Linked DNA regions of Canis lupus familiaris. The protein of the gene in region 2 purifies or fractionates together with the protein of the main gene of each other region. This does not show direct contact. Links are inferred from orthologs where the notes say so. Each region holds a gene or a part of one and is shown on either strand. Other genes may lie near its edges.

Region 1 (3,806 bases), on a different chromosome or scaffold from region 2:
ATTTATTTATTTATTTTAAGATTTTATTTATTTATTCATGAGAGACAGAGAGAGAGAGAGAGAGAGAGAGAGAGAGGCAGAGACTCGGGCAGAGGGAGGAGCAGGCTCCCTGCAGGGGGATTCGATCCCCTGCAGGGAGCCTGACGTGGGACTCCATCCCGGGTCTCTGGGGTCAGGCCCTGGGGTGAAGGTGGCACTAAACTGCTGAGCCACCGGGGCTGCCCTATTTTATTTTATTTTTTAAAAGATTTTATTCATTCATGAGAGACAGAGAGAGGCAGAGACATGGGCAGAGGGGATAGCAAGCTCCCTGTGGGGAGCCCAATGGAGGACTCAATCCCAGGACCCCGGGATCATGACCTGAGCCAAAGGCAGATGCTCAACCACTGAGCCACCCAGGCATCCTGGTCATATTTGTTTAAACATTTGTTTAAAGACCCACAGTGAACACCTGCTCACCTATGTGATACTGGTACATTGTATCCAGTGCTCCTGTGGGAGTCATCCCTCCAAAGATGTACAGGTGTTTCCCTACAGCCACAGCTGAGTGGGCAGCACAGCCTGTGGGAGGTGCCCCCGTGGGACTTAGCTCCTGCCACTTCATATCACCTGCCAAGAGAAAGAAAGTGGGTACAACATGACCCAGAATATGGACTCAACCTTACCTGTCAGACTCTTGCAGTGGGCAAACCACTCACTGAAGGTCATTCACAAAGCACCCTGAGAGGTAATACAGCAAGGTTTAATTTGCACAGAAATTACCTGGGGAAGCTTGAAATTCTGTTTGGGTGTCCAGGGAGGGAGGAGGAGCTCAGCACTTTATAGTTTTAACAAGTATCTCAGGTGAGTCTGATGTAAATGGTCTTTGGAGCACACTGAATAATATAATATCTTTGGTGACTGTCACCATTTACCAATTTGGAGCCCGGAAGGAGTTAAGTTCCATGCCTGTGTGTGTGCTTTTTAAATACTATCAGTTCCTTAGAAAACAACTTTTGTGAGTGCTGGCTAGACACTTTAAATATTTTGCTTGCTCGAAAACAGTCCTATGAAGCTGCTATTACTTCTGCCTCCTCTCTTTCTTTTTCCTGGTGAAGAAACAGCATCAAAGAGGGAAATAGTTGTCTAAGATCTCACAGCCAGCAAGCTGCACAGTTAGAATGATAATCAAGTCTGATGCTAGAACCTGTGTTCTCCACACTTTATGTGCTGCTTCAAGCACCTGCTCCCAAACTATTTCTGCAAAGATATTTGCATCTTTTCAAACAAACATTGAAATGAAGCAAGATATTATTGAATTTTAGGTTTAGAGAATTAATGGGGTAGGAAAGGGTGAGAAGTAGCCAGAAAGTAGTTCCTCAGTGCAAGGGAGTAAAGGGCTTTCTCTTTTAAAATACGCATTAAAACTCCATTTGACTGCTGCAAGGAACACTTCTGTGAAGATATTTTCCATCTGTCAATTCAAGGCAGGGACCCAGCATCTCAGAGTTGGAAGGGAGAATTACCCAGTGTAGCCAAAACTCTTGCCAATATAATAATCCCAGCCAGTGTTGCCTAGCCTCAGATGTCACCGAGCCACAGAATCCATTGTTGGGCAAGGTAGCCCAATAAACTACACAGCAGTTCTCCTGCCTTCTGCCCACTGTTCCAATTCTTGTAGTCTGGAGCAACGCAAAAGACATTTATTTATCCACTCAAGATATGCAGTCATCCCCCTCAATCTACCAGACACTGTGTTAAGTGCTGGAAATATACTGGAGAGGAACAAAAGAGACAAAACCCCAGCCCTAAGGGAGCTCATAGTCTGAAAGAATGACCCAGAATGAGTCCAGGATCTCTAGGACTTGTCAGCCCTTCAGACCCTATGGACAATTCTCACATTCTCCCTAACTCCTCTTTCTGGTGTTTTTAACCATTTAGCATGGTAATTCTGGTCACCAACCACCGGACACATTCAAAATTATCCATGCCCCTTATGAGCATAGGGTTAATGATTAATGGCAGTCAGAGAATACAAAGCATAATGAATTTTTTAAAGATTTTATTTATTTATTAATGAGCGACACAGAGAGAGAGAGAGGGAGAGAGAGGGAGAGAGAGAGAGAGAGAGAGAGAGGCAGAGACACAGGCAGAGGGAGAAGCAGGCTCCATGCAGGGAGCCCGACGTGGGACTCGATCCCGGGTCTCCAGGATCAGCCCCCAGGCTGAAGCGGTGGCTAAACCGCTGAGCCACCTGGGCCACCCAAGCATAATGAATTTTAATGAAAGAGCAGGGTTGTTGGAAACATAAGAGATAATTAATGGCTGGGCACATAGCGAGTACACTCGGAAAGTGATTGCTTTCATTGGTATTATTATTATTATTCAGGCCACATTTGACAGAAATCTGTCAAATCTAGCTAAGATTCTGCTGGCTGGTCAATTTACCCACACTTATGAGTGAAGCTATATTCTATCAAAGCATATTTTAATTAATTTTAAGCAGACAAGCCCTTATGCCCTCTATCCTACTTACGTATATCAATGCAGTGGAGATCATCATAGAATTTGTCTCCTGCCAAGCCTCCATGGATGAAGAGCTTTGTCCCTGCTGCCACCATCACATGACCATGCCGTGGGGATGGAGGTTTTCCAAGTGTCTCTGGCTGTGACCAGGTCAGACTGTCTAGAAAAGTAAATTCATTGACAACAGATGAAAAAGCTAAGAAGCAAGAACATGAGAAAATAGACCCAAGCTTCACTTTCCAGCAAGCTGAGATGCTCAAAGCAGAAAGTGACAGTGGGGTTATTCACTCCAACTTGCCAACCCAATCCAGTTCTCCCTTTTTCTAAGCCTGTATAGACTCTGCTTGAACACTTCCTGGGCTGGAGAATTTACTACCTAACATGCCTGCTCCTTCTACTGGGCATTAGGAAGCCATTCCTTGTTTTGAATTTTAAAAGCTTCAACCTGGAACTGCCCCAGAGTTTAAAAGAACAAGTTTGGTTCTTCTGTGACAGGCCCTCAGAGTCCTCCTTTTTCAAGACAATATCTTTAATTGATTTGCTGGAAGCATGGGGGAAAAAGACTACTTTTGAAGTAGTCAGTACAGGATAAGAGTTACAACACAGGCTGTGGCGTTAAAACAAGGTCATTTCACTGAATAACTTTGTGCCTTGCATCAGTGATTCCCTAAGCTCTAGTTTTTACAGCTGTAAAATGGGGATAAAGAGAATACCTAGCTCTCCAGTTGAAGTGTGGATTAAATGAGATGATGTACATAAAGCATAAGCTCAGAGAAAGTACTCAGAACACGAAAGTTTGTGTTAGAATTACTATTTGTGGCATGCCTGAGGTTGTGAATGGAGCCCCACTGTTCGAAGGAACACAATCTGAAATAATCTGAAAAATTATTATGCACAAACACGTTCATCACAGCATTGTTTGTAATAGAGAAACTCTGAAAGTAGCTTCAGTGCACCAATAGGTGAGTGGTTGTTATTGCTGCAGTCATGATAGAATACTATGTATTTATTTTAAAATGTTGAAGGGATCCCTGGGTGGTGCAGTGGGTTAGCGCCTGCCTTTGGCCCAGGGCGCGATCCTGGAGACCCAGGATCGAATCCCACATCGGGCTCTCGGTGCATGGAGCCTGCTTCTCCCTCTGCCTGTGTCTCTGCCTCTCTCTCTCTCTCTGTGTGACTATCATAAATAAATAAAAAAATTTAAAAAAAAAAATAAATAAAATAAAATAAAATGTTGAAGATTGGGATCCCTGGATGGCTCAGCGGTTTAGCGCCTGCCTTCACCCCAGGGTGTGACCCTG
Region 2 (4,584 bases):
CAGGGGCTGGCTCAGGCAGCTGCTCCAGGATCCATTCCAGGTGCTGGGTGATCTCGGTGAAGGGAGCACGAGTGCTAGGTTCCATCTGATGGGTGGAAACAGGGATAGCTTCATTCAATGCTCCTCCAAAAGAAGGTCTCTACATTTTCCTCCCACCACCTGGAGCAGGAAAGCCTTGCCAACTGACGGATGGGGGTGGTGGGCAGAAAGAGAGTGAGGCTCTTACACTGCAGCAATGGATGGCCAGGAGCAGGAAGGGTAGCGGGCAGTCATCCCCCACCAGGGTCCGGAAAGCAGGCACGTCCAGGCCAAAGTCCTGCAGGAACAGAGAGGCGGAGCCTTCAAGTCTGCCTCCCTTGGGTTCTCCTTCTGACCCCCAATCAGGACCTCAACCTCCAGGGAACCCTCCTTGGTTAAGAGCTGCCCAGTCTGGCGTGCCTCCTTTTCAAACCTGGAGACATCATTCACCTCAGTTCGGGGCAGGTAATCCGGGTCTGCAGGTACTCTCGCGATGAGCTCACAGAGGACAATCCCAAATGCAAAGACATCGGCCTGGGAAGAGGAGAGAATGTCATTGGGAGGAACTGATAGTTTTCATGTCAGGATTTTGTCAGAATATGCCAGAATTTGGGGGAAGTCTTGCTGGTTTCATGTGTTGGAGAGGTGCCTATGAGGGGCTGAGGGGGGGGGGGTTTGGGGGTCTCCTAAATATTCAGTATGGCTGTTAAAGAACTTGGGATGGGGCCTTATAAAAGTATCTCAAGGGTCCCTGGAAGGCCTTGGAATCTGAAGGCTTGATGTCTTACCTTCTCATCATACAGCTCACCCCGCAACACCTCTGGAGCCATCCAGTATGGAGAACCTACCACAGCCAATGGCTCCTTTCTTGCCCCTTCCCTGCAGGGGTAGGGGCAGAGTGATCAGAAACATCCCACTCAGACACCCCCCCCCTAAACAAAAGGGGATGAGGTCAGCCCCCTCCCCACTCCAAAGGAACTGTCTCTGGGGGCTTCACTTAGATAGGGACCTTCTAGAAAGTTTTTTTTGGGGGGGCACAGGAGCATTCACCTCACCTATACACAGGAATCTTTTCAGCCAGCCCGAAGTCACCCACAACAGCCGTGAAGCCTCGGTCTTCCCGTCGTATCAGACAGTTCTGACATACACATAGCATCCCCACATACCCATCACCTTCTGTTCTCTGATCTCCTAGTATATATACCCTAAAGCCCTATCACTCCAGAGTAACCTCAACTCTCTCTGACCTCCCAGTTCTCCAGTGTACCCCAATCTTTCAATATTATCACTTCAAACATAGCATGCTTAGCCCCTCAGAGCTCCCTCCCCCCCAGTCCCCATTCTCCAGTGCCTTGTTACTCCAACATCGTAACTTGTCTACTATCCACATTCCAACATCAGGGGGCCAGTTATAGTGTAACAGTCTCAAATCCCTTTCATGCCTCTATTCACCTGGCCAGCCTACCTTGGATGTTAGGTCTCGGTGGAATACACCTTTGGCATGCAGGTACCGCAGGCCACGGGCAATGTCCAGAGCCAGGCGGAGCCTGACAGGCCAGGATAGAGGTTCCGGGGAGCTGAGCAGCTGTTCCAGGGTCCCCCCATTCATATACTGGGGCATAGAAGGAGATGAAGAATGAGTGTCAAGATTTCCATCTGTACTCTAGGTCTCCCACTTGTAAGTCAGAGGACACTCAGGAGGATCGCAAAGGTCAGAAGGGTGAGTCTGTGCTCTAAGGTCCCTCCCCACTCATCTTCTAGGGCTGTCCTGTCCAAGACATGAACAACTGTTTAAATTATTAAGTTCAAATAAAATTAAACATTTAGTTCCTCAGCCACACTAGTCATATTTCTACTGCCACATGCAGCTGTAGAACATTTTCATCACTGTGGAAAGTTCTGTTGGACAGCACTGTTAGAGCACACATAGAGAATGTAACCAACTGAGGCATTTTATTTGTGGTTAGCCCAAAGGGAAGTTCAGGGAAGCCTCTCATGGGAGGAGGTCCTGCTGCCTCTCATTATTCCTCTGTAGATGCACTTGGCCCTGACTCTCTCCCCCCTAGGTGGTGGCGGTGGTGGTGGTGGTGGTGGTGGTGGTGGTGGTGGTCCCCTCCTTCCGGGCCCATCCTCACCTCTGTAAGAGCGTGCAGCTGCCCCTGGTGCACACAGACCCCCATGAACCTGGAAGGGGATGGGGAAGATAGAAGGGTAGACTGTTAAGAGTCCAGGCCCCTCTACAGTTCCCGCTTTTCCCGCGGGATCTTTCCTCTTCTCCCAGCAAGCTTCTCAGCAAGCGGCCGGGGCCGCTCACCTTAGGATGTTGGGGTGTCGGAGCCGGTTCATCAGCTGCACCTCCCGTAGCGTGTTTCCTCGGTTACTGGGGAGTCTGTTCATTTTCAGCACCATGACTTGCCCTGACTGTCGGTGCCTAACCTGGGGACGGCAGATCCGCCAGGTCGCGCGGGGTGTCCGGGTCTGGGTCCCCTAGTTCCAGCCTCCCGTCTAAGGCTCGGTCCCGCCCCTCTGCCCTCTCTGCTGATCCTACCTTATAGACCTCAGAGAAGAAGCCGGCCCCGATCTTTTCGGCGCAGTGGAAATCGTCCACGCGCGCCAGGCTGGACACGGCGCTGCGGAGAGCCCGGTAGGAGGAGGGGCGGCCCCGGCCAGGGCCTCCACCCGTGCCCCCCGGCCCCGGGGGCCCCTCCCCCGGCGCCTCTCCGGGCCCTGGCCCAGGGCCCCGCAGTGGGGGCCGTTCCCCGGCCATGGCCGGGCCCCCAGCCCGGGCCTGCCTCACATGGCAGGGTCCCCGGGGCCCGGGCAGGCCGCGCTTGCCATGGGCGTGCGCCCAGCCCGATCCCGGACGCCGGGGCTCCCGCTCCCGCCCTGGAGAATGGAAGATCCGCGGAAGATCTTGGGCCCGCCCCCGCCGCGCCGGCTTGCAGGGCCCGGGTAGACGCCGCTCCGCTTCGCTCTGCGTAGGGCCTGGGCCTGGGCCTGGGCCGGGCGGTGGCGGCGGCTCTCCTGGGCGCCGGCGGGCAGGCGGGCGGCGGGCGGCGGGCGGCGGGCGGGCTCCCCGCAGGCGGAGGCGGGCGGGCTGGCGGGCGGGCGGGCGGCCGCTGCTCCGCTTCGCCGCTGGGGCTCAGGCTCCGCGGCCTGCCGGGGGCGGGGCTGAGCCGGGCCTCCGCTTAACTCCTTCCAGCCCGGCCCCCGGGCAGCGGCCACGCCCCCTCAGGTAGGCACCCCGCAAGCGGTGACCGCGACACCCTAGGCGAGCGGGTCTGGGACGTTGGGGCCAAGAGAGTTCAGGCCCGAGCTAAATGGCTGAAGGAAATTACGGGCTGGTTGCGCGTACGCGCGGCTCGGGTGTCTTCCAGCTGCCCTTTCTCTCTTCCCACCCTCAGGCCACGGACTTGAGAGCCGGGCTCAGGACGCCGCCGGATTCCTGGGCTCCGTGGACCAGCGGGGCAGAAAAGTAGCCCCTTCCGGGCCAGCCACGGTCGGAGGGAGCCCAGCAGCCTGCCTGCCTTCCCGGCCCCCGCTCTGGCCCGGCCTGCCCATCTCCCAGGTCTCCACCCCTGCGCCTCTGGATTCCCGGACACCTTTGCCCCTCTCGGGCGGCTCCGATGCCCTCGCGAGCCTGTGGCCAGTCCGTCCCCGGTGTGGCCCCGCACACCTCCCTACTCCATCCTGCCTCCCTGGAACACAGTTCAAAGGAGCAGAGGGGTATCCGCCCGGTGACCACCCGGCCCGAACCTTCCCCTTACTCTTTCCAGCAAACGGCCCTATCTCTCGGCAGAGAAGCCTCCACCTGCCCGGAAGCCCCTCCTTCCGTGGGGTCCCGCCCCTCAGCAGAAGCCCCGCCCCCCGAGGGGCCCTTCCCCTTCCCTCAGTGAGACCCCTCCCCGCAGGGCGACCGTTTCTCCAGAGAGAGCCGCCGTCAGCGGCGCCGGGACCCCTCCCGGCGACGTCCCTCCTCTGTGTGTTCCTCCCTCACAACGAGACCCCACCTCTCAGAGAGACGCCACCGGTCTTTGTGACCCCTCCTCTCAACGTGGCTCCTCCCCTCCGTGCGCCCCAGCCCTTAGGAGTGTGACCGCCTCGGGAGGGTTCGGCCCTCCACCTCGTAGGAATCCGGTCTGCCCCCTCCGGCTAGAGGGAGAGCTGCAGCCGGCCTCCTTCCCGTCGGCGCTGGGCCCGGAACGCGCACGCCCCGCGCACCCGCCGTACCCAGAGCTTCCGGTTCTCCGCTGGCTGCCCCTCCCCCCCGGGCGTCGGCGAAATAGCCAACTACCGCCAGGGATTAGAGTGACGTCGCTGGATCCGGCCGACGCCTCCGGGGCCGCGGGGGTGGGCGGCAGTGAGCAGCTTGCCACCTAGCGGCGGAAAGGAGGGCGGCGGGCGTGGAGGCTGCAGGTCCCCGGAGCCAAACGGGCTGCGACAGAGCTTGCGGGAGGAAGGGTGAAGTCTGTTCAAAAATTCTCCAGTACCGCATTTCTATTTTTGTGGTAAGACGGAAAGGAAATTAATACAAGTACAGGCCGCATCCGTGTGGGGGTGCTCGCC

The links.
Region 1: the proteins of TESK1 (region 2) and RABEPK purify together in Homo sapiens (affinity purification with mass spectrometry; 3 studies listed by BioGRID and IntAct, with this or other methods). This does not show direct contact. The link is inferred for Canis lupus familiaris from reciprocal best matches to the Homo sapiens genes TESK1 and RABEPK.

The regions. Positions count from the first base shown.
Region 1 is NC_049230.1:57,944,256-57,948,061, forward strand, and holds part of RABEPK (rab9 effector protein with kelch motifs), read right to left. Parts: intron 2,666-3,806; coding exon 2,516-2,665; intron 610-2,515; coding exon 460-609; intron 1-459. UniProt on the Homo sapiens protein: Rab9 effector required for endosome to trans-Golgi network (TGN) transport.
Region 2 is NC_049232.1:52,460,126-52,464,709, reverse strand, and holds the start of TESK1 (dual specificity testis-specific protein kinase 1), read right to left. Parts: upstream 2,801-4,584; 5' UTR 2,786-2,800; coding exon 2,567-2,785; intron 2,455-2,566; coding exon 2,333-2,454; intron 2,203-2,332; coding exon 2,154-2,202; intron 1,631-2,153; coding exon 1,484-1,630; intron 1,157-1,483; coding exon 1,074-1,156; intron 898-1,073; coding exon 807-897; intron 553-806; coding exon 469-552; intron 317-468; coding exon 227-316; intron 86-226; coding exon 1-85. UniProt on the Homo sapiens protein: Dual specificity protein kinase activity catalyzing autophosphorylation and phosphorylation of exogenous substrates on both serine/threonine and tyrosine residues.